3 linked regions of the Oryzias latipes genome follow. The protein of the gene in region 3 purifies or fractionates together with the protein of the main gene of each other region. This does not show direct contact. Links are inferred from orthologs where the notes say so. Each region holds a gene or a part of one and is shown on either strand. Other genes may lie near its edges. The genes, in order: tsen15, clp1 and tsen2.

Evidence for each region.
Region 1: the proteins of tsen2 (region 3) and tsen15 purify together in Homo sapiens (affinity purification with mass spectrometry; 4 studies listed by BioGRID and IntAct, counting the BioPlex papers as one, with this or other methods). This does not show direct contact. The link is inferred for Oryzias latipes from reciprocal best matches to the Homo sapiens genes TSEN2 and TSEN15.
Region 2: the proteins of tsen2 (region 3) and clp1 purify together in Homo sapiens (affinity purification with mass spectrometry; 3 studies listed by BioGRID and IntAct, counting the BioPlex papers as one, with this or other methods). This does not show direct contact. The link is inferred for Oryzias latipes from reciprocal best matches to the Homo sapiens genes TSEN2 and CLP1.

Annotation. Positions count from the first base shown.
Region 1 is NC_019875.2:13,672,840-13,678,937, forward strand, and holds the start of tsen15 (tRNA-splicing endonuclease subunit Sen15), read right to left. Parts: upstream 3,598-6,098; 5' UTR 3,480-3,597; coding exon 3,420-3,479; intron 3,339-3,419; coding exon 3,257-3,338; intron 2,651-3,256; coding exon 2,515-2,650; intron 2,434-2,514; coding exon 2,230-2,433; intron 1,007-2,229; exon of another isoform or gene 1-1,006. UniProt on the Homo sapiens protein: Non-catalytic subunit of the tRNA-splicing endonuclease complex, a complex responsible for identification and cleavage of the splice sites in pre-tRNA. It cleaves pre-tRNA at the 5' and 3' splice sites to release the intron.
Region 2 is NC_019868.2:14,103,243-14,109,523, forward strand, and holds clp1 (polyribonucleotide 5'-hydroxyl-kinase Clp1), read right to left. Parts: upstream 3,580-6,281; 5' UTR 3,490-3,579; intron 3,482-3,489; exon of another isoform or gene 3,389-3,481; intron 3,190-3,388; 5' UTR 3,188-3,189; coding exon 2,915-3,187; intron 2,822-2,914; coding exon 2,714-2,821; intron 2,622-2,713; coding exon 2,502-2,621; intron 1,841-2,501; coding exon 1,703-1,840; intron 1,601-1,702; coding exon 914-1,600; 3' UTR 770-913; downstream 1-769. UniProt on the Homo sapiens protein: Polynucleotide kinase that can phosphorylate the 5'-hydroxyl groups of double-stranded RNA (dsRNA), single-stranded RNA (ssRNA), double-stranded DNA (dsDNA) and double-stranded DNA:RNA hybrids. dsRNA is phosphorylated more efficiently than dsDNA, and the RNA component of a DNA:RNA hybrid is phosphorylated more efficiently than the DNA component.
Region 3 is NC_019863.2:19,268,958-19,275,029, reverse strand, and holds tsen2 (tRNA-splicing endonuclease subunit Sen2), read right to left. Parts: upstream 4,292-6,072; 5' UTR 4,120-4,291; coding exon 3,949-4,119; intron 3,383-3,948; coding exon 3,316-3,382; intron 3,225-3,315; coding exon 3,185-3,224; intron 3,118-3,184; coding exon 2,890-3,117; intron 2,035-2,889; coding exon 1,905-2,034; intron 1,834-1,904; coding exon 1,759-1,833; intron 1,682-1,758; coding exon 1,631-1,681; intron 1,546-1,630; coding exon 1,401-1,545; intron 1,294-1,400; coding exon 1,257-1,293; intron 1,178-1,256; coding exon 1,066-1,177; intron 999-1,065; coding exon 909-998; intron 709-908; coding exon 649-708; 3' UTR 112-648; downstream 1-111. Other genes in the region: mkrn2os (MKRN2 opposite strand protein), read right to left, coding at 6,007-6,072.

The sequences.
Region 1 (6,098 bases), on a different chromosome or scaffold from region 3:
ATTAAAAATGCACACTCACTGGGACGCCGAAGCTGTCAAAGACGGCAGAAGGCTGACTTCCTGTTCCACTGCCACGACACATACTAGTCTGCTTCTGTGCAAACTGTAGGAATTCTGGAGAAGTTTTTTTTAGATTGAAATGAAATATAAAGCACTTTCAGACAACAAAAGTCAGGATTTTATTAACAGAGACAAATATTTTAAAAGATGAGCTTAACTCAAATTTGACTAAACACGGCTTCATCTGCTGATGCCGACTATAGCTTTATCGTACAACAAGGACGCCACATTCAAACCCATTTACAGAGGGGCCTGTAGGCCAAACCTCATCCAAAACAGACTATTTGGAAATTGCAAAGGGCTCTATGGCGAGGGAAAGTTTGTCATGTTTGCTACTAATCACACACGCCACATCCTCCAGGCTGTTAGGGGGGCGGGGGGGAACAAACGTCCTCCTCCAGATGAAGTCTATTTCAGGAAAGGCTTTGTGTATCTCAGCAGGCTGATGTAAACCCACATACCACAGCCATCACAGCAGCATGACGTCAGCCCAGCAGAGTCTAGCTGCTGAAATTGCCCGCCTGCCTGCAGCCACCTTAAGAGGACGTGGTGCATTTAGCGAAACGGAAAACACATTAAGGATGACAGGGGAGCTGGAAAAAACAATCCACAACCAAAAACAGAAACTCCAGAAGCATACCACCGCAATGCTCAAGTTTTCTCAAACTGGTTTGAGGAAAATGAAGATGGCCCTCCATGGTGAACATACCCCCGGCCGAGCCCAGTCTGTGGCAGGACTTGATATCAAAATGAGCTCCTTCAGTGGATACAATTCATATTTGTGCAAAAAGCAATGAAAAGCTTTTTATTAATAGCTTTTGTTTTTCCAAATTCCTACATTTGGACATCTTTCATCCGCCTGTGTCTCATTATTGTAATCTGTTTTAATGTAGATCCGCCTCCGTTTTCTAGAAGAATAAAAGTAGTTTCAGTTTTTGTCCCTCAGGCTGACGCTGTTGTTTTTCCTTCAAACAGAAGTCAGAGTTTTTGAATGATTTTGACTCGTATCCCTTTCAGAAATGTTCTGAAACATGTGCGTTGTTTAGTGAGGCTGTTGAACTGCCCCCACCCAAATATATATATATATATATATAAATATATATATATACACACAAAGCCATTTTGTCTACAGGCATGTATGACTAAATAAAAGCCTTCCTTATATGAGAAAGAGCAGAACAGTTTCTTTCTTGGACACTTTGCACAAGCTTTCTTGATAAACTCTGACAGATGTGCATGTGCAGATTGCACAGCTTTCTACAAACCATGGAGGGGTTTTAACTGACAGAAGCCCAGACTGCAGCAGAACCTTCTCTGCCCCATCCATCATCACTAAGACCTACAGTTTGGTTTTTCTTTGACTGGAAAGCAACGTTTTTGAGGCACTTAGAAAAGATTTAGAACCTTTGGCTCCCTTTTCCCCATCGGTGTTCTGCAATTTAAATACACGATTGAGGCCTTGATGTCCACTCTGAGAATCAAAAAGTTATTTTCTTATCTGCATCCTCATAATTAACAAATACAGAAAGGGAAAACTGAAGGGAAGTGTGCATTTACGGATCACAGCTGGTTTAGATCATTTCTGCCTGAGAGGTTGATCAATGCTGCCAGTCAGGGCTTTGTAAAGCTTTATCTTTTAAGTCTGCAGGTTTCGTTTTCCTTTTTTATGGATACGGTTTTGTTTTCTACTAAAAGAATTAGGGAGACAGTATTCAAGTCAAACAAACTGTTTACTTTTTTTTTTTTTTACATCAGAGTGGAGTTTAATTCCAAACAGCAAAAACGAATCTTCTCATCAGAACCGCAGGCACTGGACTCCAAAAGTTTTGGCTTTCTGCTCATCAGAATCCTGGAAAAACACTGTCATGGCAACAGAAGTGATCGACGTGCTTCACAAACAGGCTGGTGAAGATGCGTTCGCTGACATCGGTAAACGGCAAAATGACTTTGGTTTTTGACTACTCTGAATAAAATAGCAGCTCTGTGGGAGAGAAGTCTGCGGTGTCCATTTTAGGGATCGATGTAGGTCTTTCAGTCCACGGTGGAAATGCTTCCACATATGTACCCCTAGAATGATTCACATTGCTCCAGGATGAACCCATCAGCTCCGTTTCAAAACATACGTTGATGGCAGCCAGTAGCCCGTCAGGTAAAAAACAACTTCTTCACCTTTTACCCCTCATCTTCTCACTGTGCTGCTGGAAGCTGTGCTGTCGCCTCTTGCGATGCTGCCGTCGATCCAAATCCTGAAAGGGGCCCACAGGGGGCTCCGGGGTCACCAGCCCATCCGTCAGCCTCTGATAGACCAGGGTGGAGTCCGATGCCACGGCACACAAAAGTACGGGGAAGCCCCTGTCCAGTACGCTGCAGATGCTGCTCAGGAGACAAACAGCTGCATGTCACAAACCCGTGAGCGACGGTTCAAGTCCCAACTCTCATTTGGTGACTCATCACCTGCTGTGGCTCAAGGACTGATGAGCGGGCAGGGGGAGGACAGTGTGAACCGGGGCCCCATCCTTCTCCTTCCCTTCCAGCAAGATTAATCGCAGCTCCGGACTTTTGACGGACGACACCTCCTTCCAGCGACGCACTATGTGAAACCAAATTCACTTTTTATAGTTTGACACCTTTTACTTTATTTTATTTTATTCAGATTTTAAAAATCTGAATAAAAAAAAGTTTAAATTAAATGAAAATTAACTGAATTTTGATATATTTTGATAAATTACTGTAGTTTTCTTGTTTTTGTTTGGAATGCATTTAAGACACTAATATATTATTATTAATAATCAGAAAAATAATTCAAAAAAGTAACAAAAAAATAAAGTATACACATGTGAAAAAAATCTGAATAAAAAAAAAGGTTTAAATTACATGAAAATTAACTTTTTTTAATCTACAAACATGATTTGGGATTTTTGAACCAATTAGATGTACAACTAAATACAAAATTACTTTTTACAGAAGAAAAATCAGCTTATTTAAAACATTGTAAACATCACAGGGTTTCATTCAAAATTTGAATTGAAGCTACTTAGAAATGTTTGAAGGAATACAAGCAAAATCCACAGTCATTCTAATGCATTTTAAACTTAAATTAAAACTTGTTAATAGCCACTTCTGTACTTTGTTATCTTTGTACGTATTTAAGCTCCCTTTATATTTAATGAAACATATCCAGGCTTCATCACATCACCCTCAGTCAGATCCATGCACACCAGAAAGGCAGCGTGCAGCTGCGCGCTGTCTGCGGGCTCCAGAGCCTCCATCTGCCGGTACTGAAACACAGGCAGGCCGCCGTTAGTTCCGCTCACAGCGAACCTTCACGGTCACGTTACTCCAAGCTCCAGGCCGCTCACCGCAGGGTGCTGCAGGATCCAGTTCGCGGGTGGAGCTTTCTCCACCGGAGGTACTGACATCTTTCAGTGTTTATCCTTTAATACAACTACTTGCGCACTACTATAACCGCACGTTTTCGCTAGGAAGGTTGAGCTTTAATTTTTAATGGGTACTACAATAAATGTCGACCGGATGGGAACACGCTCCTTCCTTTATGTTCCGCACCCCAATGAGGCGTGGAGGACCTTTTTATTTCAATAAACGTTATTATACGTTTTTCAATTTGTAGAAATTCACATTCAGCAGCACGATAAAGAAACAATTGTTAATATCAAAAACACATATAAGACCAAACAACAATAATAGTTTAAGCCCTGTGTGTGTGTGTGTTTTTTCTATAAATGGTCATATACAAACCAAGTTAGGGCGCTCAAACGCAATAAATGCGCATGTAGAAAAACAAAACAAAAAACAGGCAAAGGCAAGGCAAAAAACAATTCAAAATAACAATACTTTTGTTATATTTTGATAAATTACTGGAGTTTTCTTGTTTTTGTTTGGAATGCATTTAAGACACTTCTAATATTCAGAAAAATAATTCAAAAAAATACTAAACAAAGGACATGTATTTTACCATTTCCATAAATTAATGAAATGTTTGCATAGAATAATAACAACATTGATGACATCAGAAATTCCCGGGTCCAGATTTTCCGTACAGAAAAAAACATCAGGTAAGGAAAAAAGAGAATCATTAAAACTTTGTGTAACCAATTGTGAAAATCAGTCCAACATATTTTTATCTGGTTGCAACTGTAAAAGAGATATTCTAACGTTTCAGTTTCAGATGAACAGAACATGCATGGTTCCGATTGAAATTTAAATCTTTTATGTAAAAAATCTCCAACAGGGTAAATTTTAGATATTATTTTAAAATGCGTTTCTTTCATTTTAGGTGGATGTGGGTACTTTGTGTATAAAGAAAAGAGTTACTAATTTATTGTGGCATTTTTTTTATCTTTTAGGGGAATATCATTAATTTTCCGCTCTAAAAATTGTGGTTTGGTTGCATTGTATTGTAGTATGTTATGAATAAGATTGAGTGAAGGTGTGGGAATTGCTTTACAGACTTTGTTATAACAGTTACTAGAATCCTTCATTTTGTATTTAGTTACAAACTCATTGTATGATAACAGCCTTCCATCAGTGCGCATCAAGTCATAGACAAATCACACACCATTATCATACCATTCAGACATAAACAAGGATTTCTTGTTTACAGTTATAAATCTGTTTTTCCATAAAACAGTGTTGTGAGGGAAGAAGTTATGAGTGAAAAGCATCTTCCCAAATTCTAAGGCATGCTTGTAAAAGTTTGATGGTTTCATTGGCATTTTTGATAGATTATAATCGCATTTCAACAAAAACTCCAGTCCCCTGACTTTCTCAAAGAGTTTGTTTGGGATATGATACCACATAGAATGAGGCTGGGAAATACAATCTTTTAACCATTTCATTCTAAACGCTACAATTTGTGATTTAAGGTCTAAAGCTTTTAAGCCGCCATTTTTATAATCTCTGACCAGTTTTGGTTTTCATATATAGTGAGTCTTATTTTTCCAAATAGATTTAAGGAGAATAGAATTAGACAACTTGATGTTTTTTGGGGATGTACATGATGAGTGGCAGGGATACACAAGTCTTGAAAAAACCTCCGCTTTGGATAATAGAATGCGGCCAAATATTGATAAGCCAAGTCCCAACCAATGATTTCATGTTTTCTATATTGTTTTTAGTCTGGGAGTAATATTTACACTTTCTCTATCGTTACTGTTTTTTGTTATTATTAGACCAAAATATTTCACTTCACTTTTTACATGTATGTTTTCAATATTACCTGCATTGCAGGTATGTATAGGTAAAATTTCACATTTCTTTTAGATTTAGGGTAAGGCCAGATGCACTTGAAAAAGAAAGTATTTTATTGAGAACAATAGGTACCATATATTCTAATGAGTCGAAGGCCTTAAAAAATAGGATAAGACTTTCCTGGGGAATAATTTGGTTGTAATCTAATATATCTAAGATTAAGCGAGTGTGGTGATGAGTATTCGCGAAGGCACTAAAGGAACATTCCGCTGCATTTTTCGCATTAAGATGACCTAAAACCGGGTCCTGTTCAAAAACCGCTGGATCTGGACTGCTCAAACCTGGATTAGTCTAAGGTGGACTCTGGGCGCAAAATGCGATAAAAATCAATCTATTTCACATTTTCACAAATCAGAAACTGGGTTTAATGTGTTCTTTACTATCTAATGCATAATTTAATCCAGGTTTGAGCAGTCCAGGTCCAGTGGTTTTTGAACAGGACCTGGCCTGAAGTGGACTCAGTGCGTAAAATGCGATAAAAATCAACCTTTTTGACATTTTCACAAATCAGAGGAAGGTTTCACAAATCAGAAACTGGGTTTAATGTGTTCTTTAGTATCTAATGCAAAATTTAATCCACGTTTGAGCAGTCCAGGTCCAGCGGTTTTTGAACAGGACCCGGTTTTAGGTGATCTTAATGCGAAAAATGCAGCAGAATGTTCCTTTAGTGCCCTCGCGAATCGGAAGCTGTGCATCGGAAGCTAACTTCAGCGTCTTTTGATAACAATTTTTTTTGTCAATGCATTCATTGAATGCCTCAAACATTTCTC
Region 2 (6,281 bases), on a different chromosome or scaffold from region 3:
AGTTATGTAAATATAAAGTTTGGTTTTTGTGCAAAATGTAAGAGTTTTTGCACTATATCCAAGTTTGAAGAGAAAAGTTGTGGTGGAATTAAGTCTCGCGTAACAAAACTTGAGAAAATTGACTTATTGGACTGAAGTTTCCCAGCAGACATTTCACTAAGAAATTTAGGCCACCTTTTCACCAAACAGATGATTTAGGAATATATTCCATAACCTATTTTAATTCATACTTCAAAACTTTAGACATTCACTTTTTCACTGAAAAGTATGACAAACTTCTAATTTAAACACTTTTACTTGTTTTAAACTGTCAGAAAGGTACTAAAATGTCTGTTATAGTACTTTAAAATGTAAAATGTCCATTATTTTTGATTTAAGGGTGGTTGCTGGTTGCTCCCATTGGAAAATTCAGAATTTTTTAAACTTACATTACGTAGTTTTTACAATTGAATTTTTTAACATTAGTGCACTATTAAGTCTACATTTTGAAAACTAATCATAAAAGGAGAAGTTTTGCAAGGATTCGTTTTCTAATATTTTGCACCTGACGCAAGGTAAACGAAGAAAAAAAAAGGAATGACAGTTTCTAAGAAAATCTTGACAATTTCTGGATAAACATAGAAAAATGACTCAGATTAACCACACACTAAACAATGAATGCTAAATCTTTGTTCTTTTAAACGAAAATAAATACAAAAGATACTTTTTTTCTTTCCATAACAAAGAATACTTTTTTTATTTAAGGAACTGAAAAAAATGACATGACAGATTTTGCATTTGTACATAAAAGTTTAAAAATATGTCATCATTTACAACAAATTGCTGAGGTACTTTGTTACAGAGGTTTTTTACAAAACACCAAAAACTTTTAAACAAATGCACCCATCTCTCCTCACTTCAAGTATGTTCTGCATTACTTCATGTCCATAAAGCGTATGTCCATGATAAGCAGAGTGTGTCTGGGGAGAGGTCTGGGTGCTGGGGATAACACTTTCATCACCTGTGTCTGAGTGTCAACAAAAGTTACCACAATAAAACCACACACAGGAATCTCCACAATGCTCTTTCTTGCACCTTCGTCTCCGTCGTCAACGCTGCTCACGCTCAGAACATGGTACGTCAGGTCTCTCCCTGGTGTGACAGGCACCAGCTTTAGCTGCGTATCGTCCTGAGACATCCCTAGAGGTAAGCACGAGTCTGGGATAGACGGTGCACCAATTTTGTAAATGCGGACGTCAGAGAAGCGCACCTCATAGGAAAAGGGGTAGTAGGACACTCCACGGAATCCATAGAAATACTCGCGGATCTTTTCATCCCTGGTGTCCCGCCGGCACTCTTTGGAGCGCTCCACCACCCCCCCAGACTTGGGCAGAAGTACAACTCGCACAAAGTGGGGCAGGTCGCGTTTAAGCTCATTGTAGAGCCTTTCGTGGTCCAAAACCAGCACCACATCCACCTGAAAGGTGGAGGCACAGTGGACCAAAGCCTGGTATCCTGAACCCTTCACCCAGCCGCAGGTGTTGATGATGCAGCCTCCTACGCTGGCCTTCCTGTTTACCTCACAGCGCTGGGAAAACATCTCAGCGAGGCAGGATGTCAGCTAACCACAGTGATAAAAACACAAAAGCAGTAGAAAATAACAGCATAAATGATGACAGCCAATGACAAACATAAAATGACTGTATATCTACAATCTTCTAACCTTGTTATAAAGTTTAATGTTGGTGCCTGGAGTGGTGGAGCCAAAGTGGTAGACCAGAGGAGCCTGGACAGAGAAGCCCTCCTCCACATCCGCCGGCCGTTCAATGCACAGCGCTGACACCGTCCCTGGTACTGACACCTAAGAGAGAACAAAGTTTAGTCACACCTTACTGTAAATTCATTACACAATGAAATCTGAACTGTTCAACATTTACATTGCAGGTTTACAAAGACAAATAATCTGCATCCTACAAATAAAATAATGTACTTTTTGTAACAGGAAACAAAAAAAAAACTAACAAATGTACTTGCAGCAAGTCATTATACAGAAACACATGTTACAACAAGTAACAGTTCAACCATCTTAGAAGTACAATAGCTAAAAAAAAAAGAAAGAAAGAAAAAAAAGACCAATGAGCAACAAGATTGTGACTAGTGTTTTGGTAACTCCTTGACATTCAAAGATGATGCCTAGAAAACATTGAAATTAGTCATTGATGTACAAATATCTCAAACACACATTTTTGATTTATCACTGAAAATATGCAGTTTTTTTATATGAATAAATGAAACCAAATACTACTTAGCATTATGGATAACAGAGGACAAGACGATTAATTTTCAGAACTAACAAGTGATAACAAGCTTTGTTTCTTAATTTAAACCATTTACATTGGGAAAACTTTAAAAACTATAAAGATTAGGTCTGCACAACTTGTCTTATACTATCTAACACCATTCCCTGGACTATAGTAGCGAGGTTAAAACATTTAAAGTTGTGCAACTTTAAATGTACTTACACCACTTTGTCCAACATCCAGTTCCACAAGGGTTGGTCTCCTGCCAACCCTGACAGCGTAGTTGAGAAGCATTCGACACACTGTTGACTTCCCTACATCTGTGGGACCCACCACCATCACCTGGAAAGCCAGCAAATATGTATTTGTAATACAAAATATACAGAGAAGTTACATTTATAGGGGGGGATTTTAGCCATCTGGCTGCTCCTCACCCTTGGTCCCCTCTCATTTTCCCGTTCTGCTTGTTTTCTCATCTGTTCCAGGGCAGCGTGGGTGTTCAGGTAGAGCAGCATGGGAGTATCTTTAGACACATAGGCCACCTGAGGTTAAAAAAAAAATAATAGGTGATGTTTCGAAGTTAATATGGAGAACTGGACAGAAAAGACTGATTATTTATTTCATCCTAAACTCACCTCTGGCTTTCCATGAAGATTCACACTGCATCCTTGCCAGGTGAAAACAGCTATTTTGGATCCTGGTCCAAACACGTACTTCTTGTTGCGGTTCAGTTCTGAACCGAACACTTCAGCCAGTCCCGACAGGAGTTCCAGCTCCACTTGCTCCGCGGCCTCTCCTGCTTCCACCTCAAACCGAAGCTCGGTCTCCTTCTCCAAGTCGAATCGGGTGCAATCTTTGCCGTTAGCCGGAGCATCGTCGCTAGTTTTTTCTACAGACTCTGTTGCCATCGCTGTAGAAAGAAACGGTGTTATATAATCATAACAGGGTGCAACATGTAAAACAACAATATCGTTAAGTTAAAGGTAAATGCAACATTAATTAATAAATGGTCAAACAACACACGACAAGGCAAGCTAACTGATGATTAGCAGGAAAGGAAGAAATGTGGGGTTTTATGTCGAACAAATATAAATAATAACAGAGATCACCTAAATGTCTTCAAATTTGCTTAATGAATACAAAACTGTATAATTCGCGTCCTTATACTGATATATACAAAGCTTAAGCACAGAACCAAAAAATTGTGTACCCAGTGAGATGTTCGTCGCAGGATGATGACGTCAAGACTCTAGCAACCAATAGTAAGAAAGAACAGCGTTCTCGCTCGCTGCATTGCTGCCCCCTCGTGGTTGTGATTTATATTTCGTGATTTTTCTATAAACTGATTCTGTTTTGATTCCAGGGGCCTCATTTATAAACGTTGCGTACGCACAAAAGAAGGCGTACGCCACTCTCTACGCAATAGTTGAGATTTATAAAAAGCAAACTTGACGGGAAAATGTGCGGTCCTTCACGCAAGCTCTGACCCAGGCGTACGCACAAAAACGGATGAAATGAGAAACGGCGACGCCGTCGGCAGATGGAAGAAACACGTGAAAGTGAAAATGACAATACTGCCTCTGATAAATAACATGAAGACTTCACAAAGCAAGTCTTACAATTAACAGCCTACACGAACACCCGTTTGATCGATCAGCAGTGAAACAAACAAAAAAATCAAACAAAAATTACAACAGAAATTCAAATGAGCACATATTTGCAAAAAGAAAAGTGAAATATGTTCTGCAATATTGGCATGTTGTGCAATTCATCCTCATAAATAATATAAATAATATAGTTAACAGAACGAAATAATGTACACAACTGATATTCCCGTCAATGTGTCCGTCTGGCGGAGCAGATATAGGAGCAATCAGACAGACAGATGGATAGATAGAGAGAGATGCATTAATTCTCCACTGGGGAAAGTTGTTTTCATAGTAAAATATTTCTTCATAAGCTACAGAATTATGGTATTCATGCATATGCCTTTATTTTGTTTTATTTTTCATGAAACAATGTATGGCGTTTGTCTCGACCATTCAGAAAGCAACAAGAAATTACATTTGCGCTGAACAATTTCCCATTTCCACGTCGATTATTCCCGACATCTGTAGCTTGTCAGATGTAATTAAATGGAGGGAAATAAAATGCCCCATCACAATGCGTAATGACGCACAATGGCTGATCTTGCTCTCTTAGAAGATGTGGCAAATGGAAGAATTCGGAGTGAACGCATCTTTAGACAGCAAGGAGACTTGCTGGCAAACGAGGACGAGTGGCTTATGAGCCGGTTCCGACTTCCTCTGCGGGCTTTTGGGGGTGTGTCACCCGGTGCATCTGGCGCGTGGGTGTCCCCCTCCGCCTCAGTCACCACTCCACTTAAAAGGGATTCCCCAATTATTGCCGCCAGTCTCTCATCAGGAGGGGTCAGCTCCGGTGTCCCCCCCCCCCCCCACACACACACACACACTCGTGGCAGACACGGGTGTGTGTGTGTGTGTGGGGGGGGGGGGGTTCAGCGCTAGACGTTTTTTTGCCTCGACTTTGATGTCCGACCTTTTCTTTTTTATTTCGGGCACGGTCCGAGGTTGTGAGGCTGCAGCATTTTCGGCGTCTGCCGCCGTTTGCCACTCACGTGCCTTTTTGGCATTAGTAATGCCCACACTGTGCCCTCCAAACAACATTATTCTCCTCTTTTCCACCTCGCCAACGATAACTTCTACTTCACATTGAGTGAAGTTACGTTTTTTTGATTTTCTCTCCGTGTTTGGCATGGTTTCGCAATCAATGAATATTCATTTGTGGGCGTTTCACGGACTATTTATGGGCAACTATGGGCGTGTCATGTAGCCGCAAAAGCTGCGCAGCATTTAGAATCGGTTGTGATTTATTAAGGGAAAGATGCGTAGGATGTGCGTGCGCACGGTTTTATAACTCCGAATATTTCTGTGCGTACGCACGTCCTATGTTTCATCCGTACGCCACTTCTGACGCAAATCCTACGCAAAGTTTTATAAATGAGGCCCCTGGTCTTAACTGTGTCTGGGCAGAATCAGACCCTTTTTAAGGAAATATATTCATCCGTGTTCAAAATTAGCATACCCATACTTTAATTTATACTTGTCATGGCTGGATGTAAAAAATTAACTACTGCCATATCTTACAATTTGGACTTATTGGAGTAAAATTGAAATATATCAGGTATCACTCCCATAAAAAGACTAATAACCATTATGACAGGCCAGAGGGAAGAACAGTTTAACAGATGGACCTGTGGAAAAAATAGGGTAAATTCCTTTTTACACTTAAACATAACTTTACATATACATTTTTTTAAAGAAATCTGATGATTTTATTAGCAATGATGAATGGCCCATTTTACACCATATATGAGAATAAGATATCATGCATCATTGAAATTAGGAACTGAATTTCTGAAGAAAACCTGCTGCATTTATCTGTAATATTTTGTCCTGTAATCACCAGTCAAAAAGTAAAAAAAAAAAATCACTTTTTTGGAAAGTATTTAATGGCAGGGCCAAATGTGTGTTAATTTTAACCAAAGTAAAAGCGTTTTAATGATAGTAAATAAAAATGAAATAAAACATAAATGGAATGATTTTCCCTCTGATGTATTTTCTGAAAAGTTTCAGCTTTATTGCTAGTTTATGAAGCTTTTTCTTTTTAAATTTCTCTCTTAGACAAAAAACAAACAAAAACAACAACAGATTATTTTCTTTTATTAATAAGCAACACCAATAAAAAAGGCACAAAAACTTTCAACAAAGATTTGAAATAGCTGAGATGATCCACTAGGTGGCAGTGTGTGCCCAGAAGAAGTCATAGGTTGGAGCTCAGTTTGTCAGAAGAGGGACTGAGAAGATCTCCTTCATCACTCTTCATCATTATGCTTCCACCAATCACATTTCCTACAGATGAGAAAGATTTTTTTAAACATCATATTATGTTATTGTTCACCTTTTGGCTCATCCTGTTAGG
Region 3 (6,072 bases):
GGACAGTGGTGTGTCCATACCGTTTCTACTGGTTGAGCCAAAACGACAAATGTTTAATAAATATGAAAAACCTTTTTTCAATGCACAAATAAAAATAAAACATACGCTTTTGAAATAATATTTATATTTTACATTTCTTTTTTTGGTTGCAGGAATTCAGCAAAAATAAAAATCGTTTTTTTTTACAGTATTTACAAAGGTACACACTATTTAAGAGATGTGAAGCCATGTTAGATTGAAAACAGCATATTTGAGAAGGAAGACTGTTCAGAAGAGTTAGATTTTAAAGTCATGGTTGTTCTGCTTCATTTTAAACTTACACTACAATACAGAGAGGAGCATCCTTCAGTCTGTCCTTTTCTAAAGGAGAGTGGTCATATTTCTTTGTGTTCAAGCTGTCAGGCTTACTAACCTTTAAGTCCTCATTTGATGAAAGATGATTTCCGTTCTCTGTAGTTTGTCATAGTTGCTCTGATCATATTTGAAAGGAAATAAGATTTTTTCTACATTTCTCTCCTTGTTTTTCTTCCCACTCCTGTTTGAGGAAGAAGGCATATTCTATATACTCCACACACGAGAAAGTTCATGAGCTCAATATGATCCACGTCCCTGATTGGCTCCAAACTGTTCTTTGCGAATTCATTTGAATCAGTCGTCATCTTGCTCGGCTCGCTCCTTGGAGGAAACCCACCTGCTAATGATGACTTCCTGTAGAGACAAAATGTAGAAGATCATGCTCACTGATATGGTGTGCTGGGCTCCAGTTTTATTTCTGGAGCCCAAGGAGACAAACAGAAAGCTGTGAAATCTACAAACCAACTAGACCCAGATGGGGAGGGATGAGGAACAGCAGATAGCTAAAACTAGAAAACTGGCAGCAACGCTGAACAAACATCACAGCTCCACACCTGAACCTTCAGCTTGCTCAGGCAAACAGGTGAATCAAGCTCCTCCTTCAGTAGCTCACCAGGATACACGATGTAACACAGCATCAGCTCCTGTGAGATAAAAACCAATCAGAGGGACATGGCAGGCCAAGTGTACCTCCTCCCGATGAATCTGTACCTTGGAGACACTGGCGGTAATTCTGCTAAGGGCAGCAAAAGAACGCCATGAAAACGGACGCAGAGTTGAGCCCCTGAACTCATCATCAGTTTGTTCTACAACCACAGAGTAACTACAGGCAGAGGACAGGCATGATTAGACACTCATAAAACCGTGGCTGATCAGAGTAAAGTCACCTGTGTGAGCGTCACCTGGCGTGGTAGAAAGGGGGTCCCTTCCTGTAAAGCACTGCAAAAAAACACATTATAGTTATCAAGCTTCTCTTGTCCCCTCAGTGTGAGGAAAATTCTTTCACAAACACAGGTAAAAGGTCTCAGCTCTGTGTGTGATCTTACTGAAGTCCACACCATATTTGGCCCCGCTGCCTCCTTTGGGGACCCAGCCCCTGCTTCGGAAATGATGATATGCAGCGTAAGAGCTGGTGAAGTCCGGACGTAGAGACCTAAACCTTCGCCACAGCTGAATGACTGACTGTGGCTCCTGACCAACCACAATGCACAACAGGGTTTACTTCTTCATATATAGCAATGCAACAAATATAACAGCCAAAACAATCATAACTCACCTGGTCCAGGTACACAGATAAGCAGCCCAAGCTGTAGACAAGGAAGAAGGCCTGCAGAGTTCAGGGACATAAAGGTGAGAAGGCCACTTAAATGTCCCAACTGTGGATGCAGGTGCCAGGTGGGTTACCTCCTCCAGGCTGAGCTGCAGGTACTCAGTTAGAGACAATGGGCTCCGCTTCACTTCTCTAACCCCACCTTCATTCTGTAGAAACACAAACCTAATTAACAGCTCATCAAACACTTAACAACATGCAGATTCATATAGGGACTTGCCTGGTTCTCAGAGACTACCAGCACAAAACCAGGACCTGGAACCTGAAAGCCAAGATCTGGTTCAGAGTCTTGATCGGAGTCAAAACTGGGTTCAGAGTTCTGGTCAAAGTTTAGGTCCTGTATGTCCGACCTGAGTGTTGAAACAAAACACAGTTAAGTTAACCCCCATGTCTTGTTTCTGAGTTTAAAATATACCAAGAGGTATCAAAATGTTATAGTTCCTTAAATGAACTCTAGAGTTGGGTTTATAAAAGGGGCAGTTTCCAACTCCAGAGTTGTTGTTGTTTCTCTCTCGGCTTTTCCCATCAGGGGTCGCCACAGCGAACGAGTCGCATGGTAAACCTGGCAATGTTTTACGCCGGATGCCCTTCCTGACGCAACCCTCTCAAAGCAACCGGGCTTGGGACCGGCACAGAAGTTGAGAAGGGAAGGTTTCCCACTCCAGAGTAATGAGAGGAAAAGAAAATCCCACTTCACACCAAAATGGGAGTGTATGTACAGGCTGAATACAAAACCTTTTTGTTTTCTATTTCTTTATGAACTCTTCTCGACAGCTTGCTGTTTTGATTTTATTAGTGTTTCACCTTTCAACACTGGAGCTTTAGCTCCGGTGTTTGTTGATTCCCCTTTGAATTACAGTAACTCTTTGACCATTCAGAATGTCAGAATTCCAACAGATTCTGACACTGAAGCTGATTCTTTGCAACACTTTTCAGTAATGAAGTGCTGCATATCAGCACAAAGCTGCTTTTCTCAATAATTCCGTAAACGATTGAAGAGTTAGAATAAGTCAAAGAGCATGTTATTTCCTGTTGTCTGTGACACCTCTGGTTTTAAAGAACTTGTGCCATTTTTGACTGGGAAGAGCATACTCCAGTCAACTTGGCAGACCCATTTCACCTCTATTTTGGTGTTTTGAATTTGGGTGACATCAGAGATTATCTGTCCATTTAGTAAATGTCTATGGATGAAACAAGCACTTCACCTGCATGGTCTCTTGGCCTCAGGCTCCGCCTCAGATTCCCTTCCCAGACTTTTTGTGTTGTCACAAACTCCATCCTCAGTCTTTGCCCCCTCAGCCTCCCTCAGTTCACTCTTCACATCCTCTATCTCCAATTTCTGCGTTAGTTTGTGAAATATTTGATCCACAGCCTCTGCAGACATTCCCTGAGCACACAGACTTGCCTTTGCCCATCCAAGTAGTTCCTCATACCTGTAAAAGACTGAAATGTAAGGCAGGAAGTGATGTCATCAGCCAGACAGAACAAGATGCTGCTAACCTGGCCTGAGAGACAACGGGAAGGTACAAATCTTCGAAATCTGTAAGACAAACAAACCAGCTGACTGCACAGAGCTGTGTGGGTTAGACCAGATCAATGATGATCTCATGCAGGTGCAGGTGTAGACTCACCCTCCCATTTTTCTGAAATGCTGTGATCTGGTCTGGCTCTGGACAAGATGCCTTTTCCAAAATAACCCTGAAAAATCAAACCTAGTTAGATAAAACTGAAGTAAATCTCCTTAGTTTTTACTTGGTTCTTTCCATCACTGCTAGTCCTTGTAGTCAGAGGCATAGAGCAGCAATAGTGTCACCATAGGACCAAGGTGGGAAAGAAGACAATAATGAAAACACAAACTGACATGTTTCTTCCCGTTTTAAGAGCTTTCCATCCAGGAAACTAAAGGGTTTACATTCAGTTTGATTTGATCAGTTTTGATTTATTGATCATTATCATTTGGCATGATGATGAAGTCCTCTCGTTGATTATTTATTATGGTAAAAGAAAGACGGGATGCAATAGATTGTTTTCATCAGAGAAATACAAAATTTACGCCCAGCTTTAACAGTTATCTGAGTCCAGCACATTTAACTGTTGCTGCAGATGCACCTATAATGTATCAGTGCGACGGCATTAAACGAACAAAAATAGTATTCATGTAATTAAGGCATTCTAAACTAAATCCTATAATCTACACTGGATCTTTTCAGTAACATTTTGCAGGATTGCTTTGCTGTCAGTGAGTCGGAACTGGCAACCCTGACCTGGTTGTGTATCTTCCTGACATGGTCGGGGTGGCAGACAAGCACGTGCTGGTTGATGAGCTCAGCCCGGTACACGCACTTCTCCCCGGCACTACGGATGACCGGCAGCGGAGCCTCCAGTTCTTCGTAAACACGCGCGCGCCGCCGGGGAGCGCGGAAGTCGGCCTGCATTGCTGTGGACCCGTTACTAAACGGCTGACCTCTTTGTGGGATTCTGACCTGGAAATTTGTGTACTGTTTTCTGAACCAGAATAAATGTGGGTTTTGCCGTGCACGTGGGTCCTCTCTAATCAAACTGGTCCTTTCGAATTTTTTTCTCTGTAGTTACTCATACTTTTACAAAATTGCTCAAGAGAGCCACCTATTGGCATGGAGGTAAACTACAATCCACCTTTAAAGCGACATACAAACAGTCCATGATTCCCTAAAGTTTGCTTGTCTACAATAATGACTATGAATGAAATTGAAAGGAAACTATACAGGTTTCCTAGTTGGTTTTATTTAGTTTTTACCACAAACTAATTTAAAAACAACAATAAATGCTCCACTGAACATGGGATAAGTGTAATACATCACACCAAACTGAAACAAAAATATTCATTTCCAGAATTTGTCAAAAATGTAAAATTATTACTAGTTCCATCCTCTATGTTACACATTAATAAACCAGCAGAGGTCAGACAATTTTGCACATCCTTCAAGAAAATTTTACTGTGCCTTAATAAATGCCTCATGAAATCTTTTAAATCAGCCATGTGTTTGCTTGAACTTGTATTTTGTCATTTCTGCTCATGTTTGTGTATACATGTCTTTATCTCCTGTGTTGTTTTGTCAGACATAAAAATGAGCAGAAAAATCCTGCTCATTTTCAATAAACCGAAAGGTGAACAACAATACAAGATAAATGTTTAAATATTGTGCAAAATAAAATTAAAAAAACAAGAAAAAACAAAACAAAACAAAAGGCAAAATGATCTTTAGCAACAATAAAACCACTCTGAGGAATCCCTCCACACTTACTGTATCTGCACAGTTCTGATACATGTTTGTTTTGTTATTGCTTCATTGAACGAATAAATAAAACAGACATCCATCAACATTTAGTTTTAAACACCAATAAAAAAGAAACATGTTGGAGAAAAAAAAAAAATCCCAATTATGTTTACGACTTTATGTTTTATGTCGGGGTGTCGTCTCTGCAGATGGAGACAAACTGGGTGAAAATCTTCTGGTTTAAGAAGTGCGTTTTAAAAGAATAAAGTTTATGTACTGAATGGTTTATGAGCCAGTTTTGATTTGTTCTGATCCGTACTGCTGCTGGAAAGCAATATATCATTCAGAACTTGTGTCAGTGTGACCGCTAAGGGTGTATTCAGATTCAAATCCTTTGTTCTTGTTGGGAAAACAGTATAAGAAGCAATGTGTGTCACGTTGAAAAGTGTTTTAATGAGCCTGCATACATCCAACCAAATTTCAATGAGTGCTGTGTCTCATTGTTCTGGTTTCATGGCATAGTTTTAAAGTAAATTCTGTTAAGGAATTACAAGGTATTTTTTATGGTGACGTTACAGCACCGCCGGGTGCATGCCGCGTAACCACACAGAAAAGCATGTAAGACGCATTTTCAGCTGAGTTAAAACAAACGTAACAAGTAAACAGTTGGACTCTTTTTTTCCCTCTTTGATAACATGACAATCATTGCTTCACATTTCTTCGCAGCTCATCGGTTCCTTCATTCCTACTCTGTTTACGTCAGCTATGGGGGCTGTTTTGGTTCAGTTGTTCCGCTCAGAGGACGGATTGTATTCAGACTGAGGAATCCCAGAGCAAACCAAAGCTTGGTCCGATTGGAAATGAACCAAGACCCCCTCCAAAGATGGGTCAGAGAGCGGTGTCTGGTCCTGGACCAGGGTCCACCTGGGTGTATTCAGACTGAAAATTTGTTCCGGATTATCCAGGAATGAAATCTGGTTCACTTAAAACAAACCAAATGTGTCCAGTCTGAATTCACCCTTAGTCTAGTGGGTCTGTTTTCATTGGGTCAAAGGTCAGGCCACTTTAGCTACTGGGTTCTGCTGCCTGCGGTCGGTCCACCATGTAGAACTGGTGTTTCTCGATGTGTTG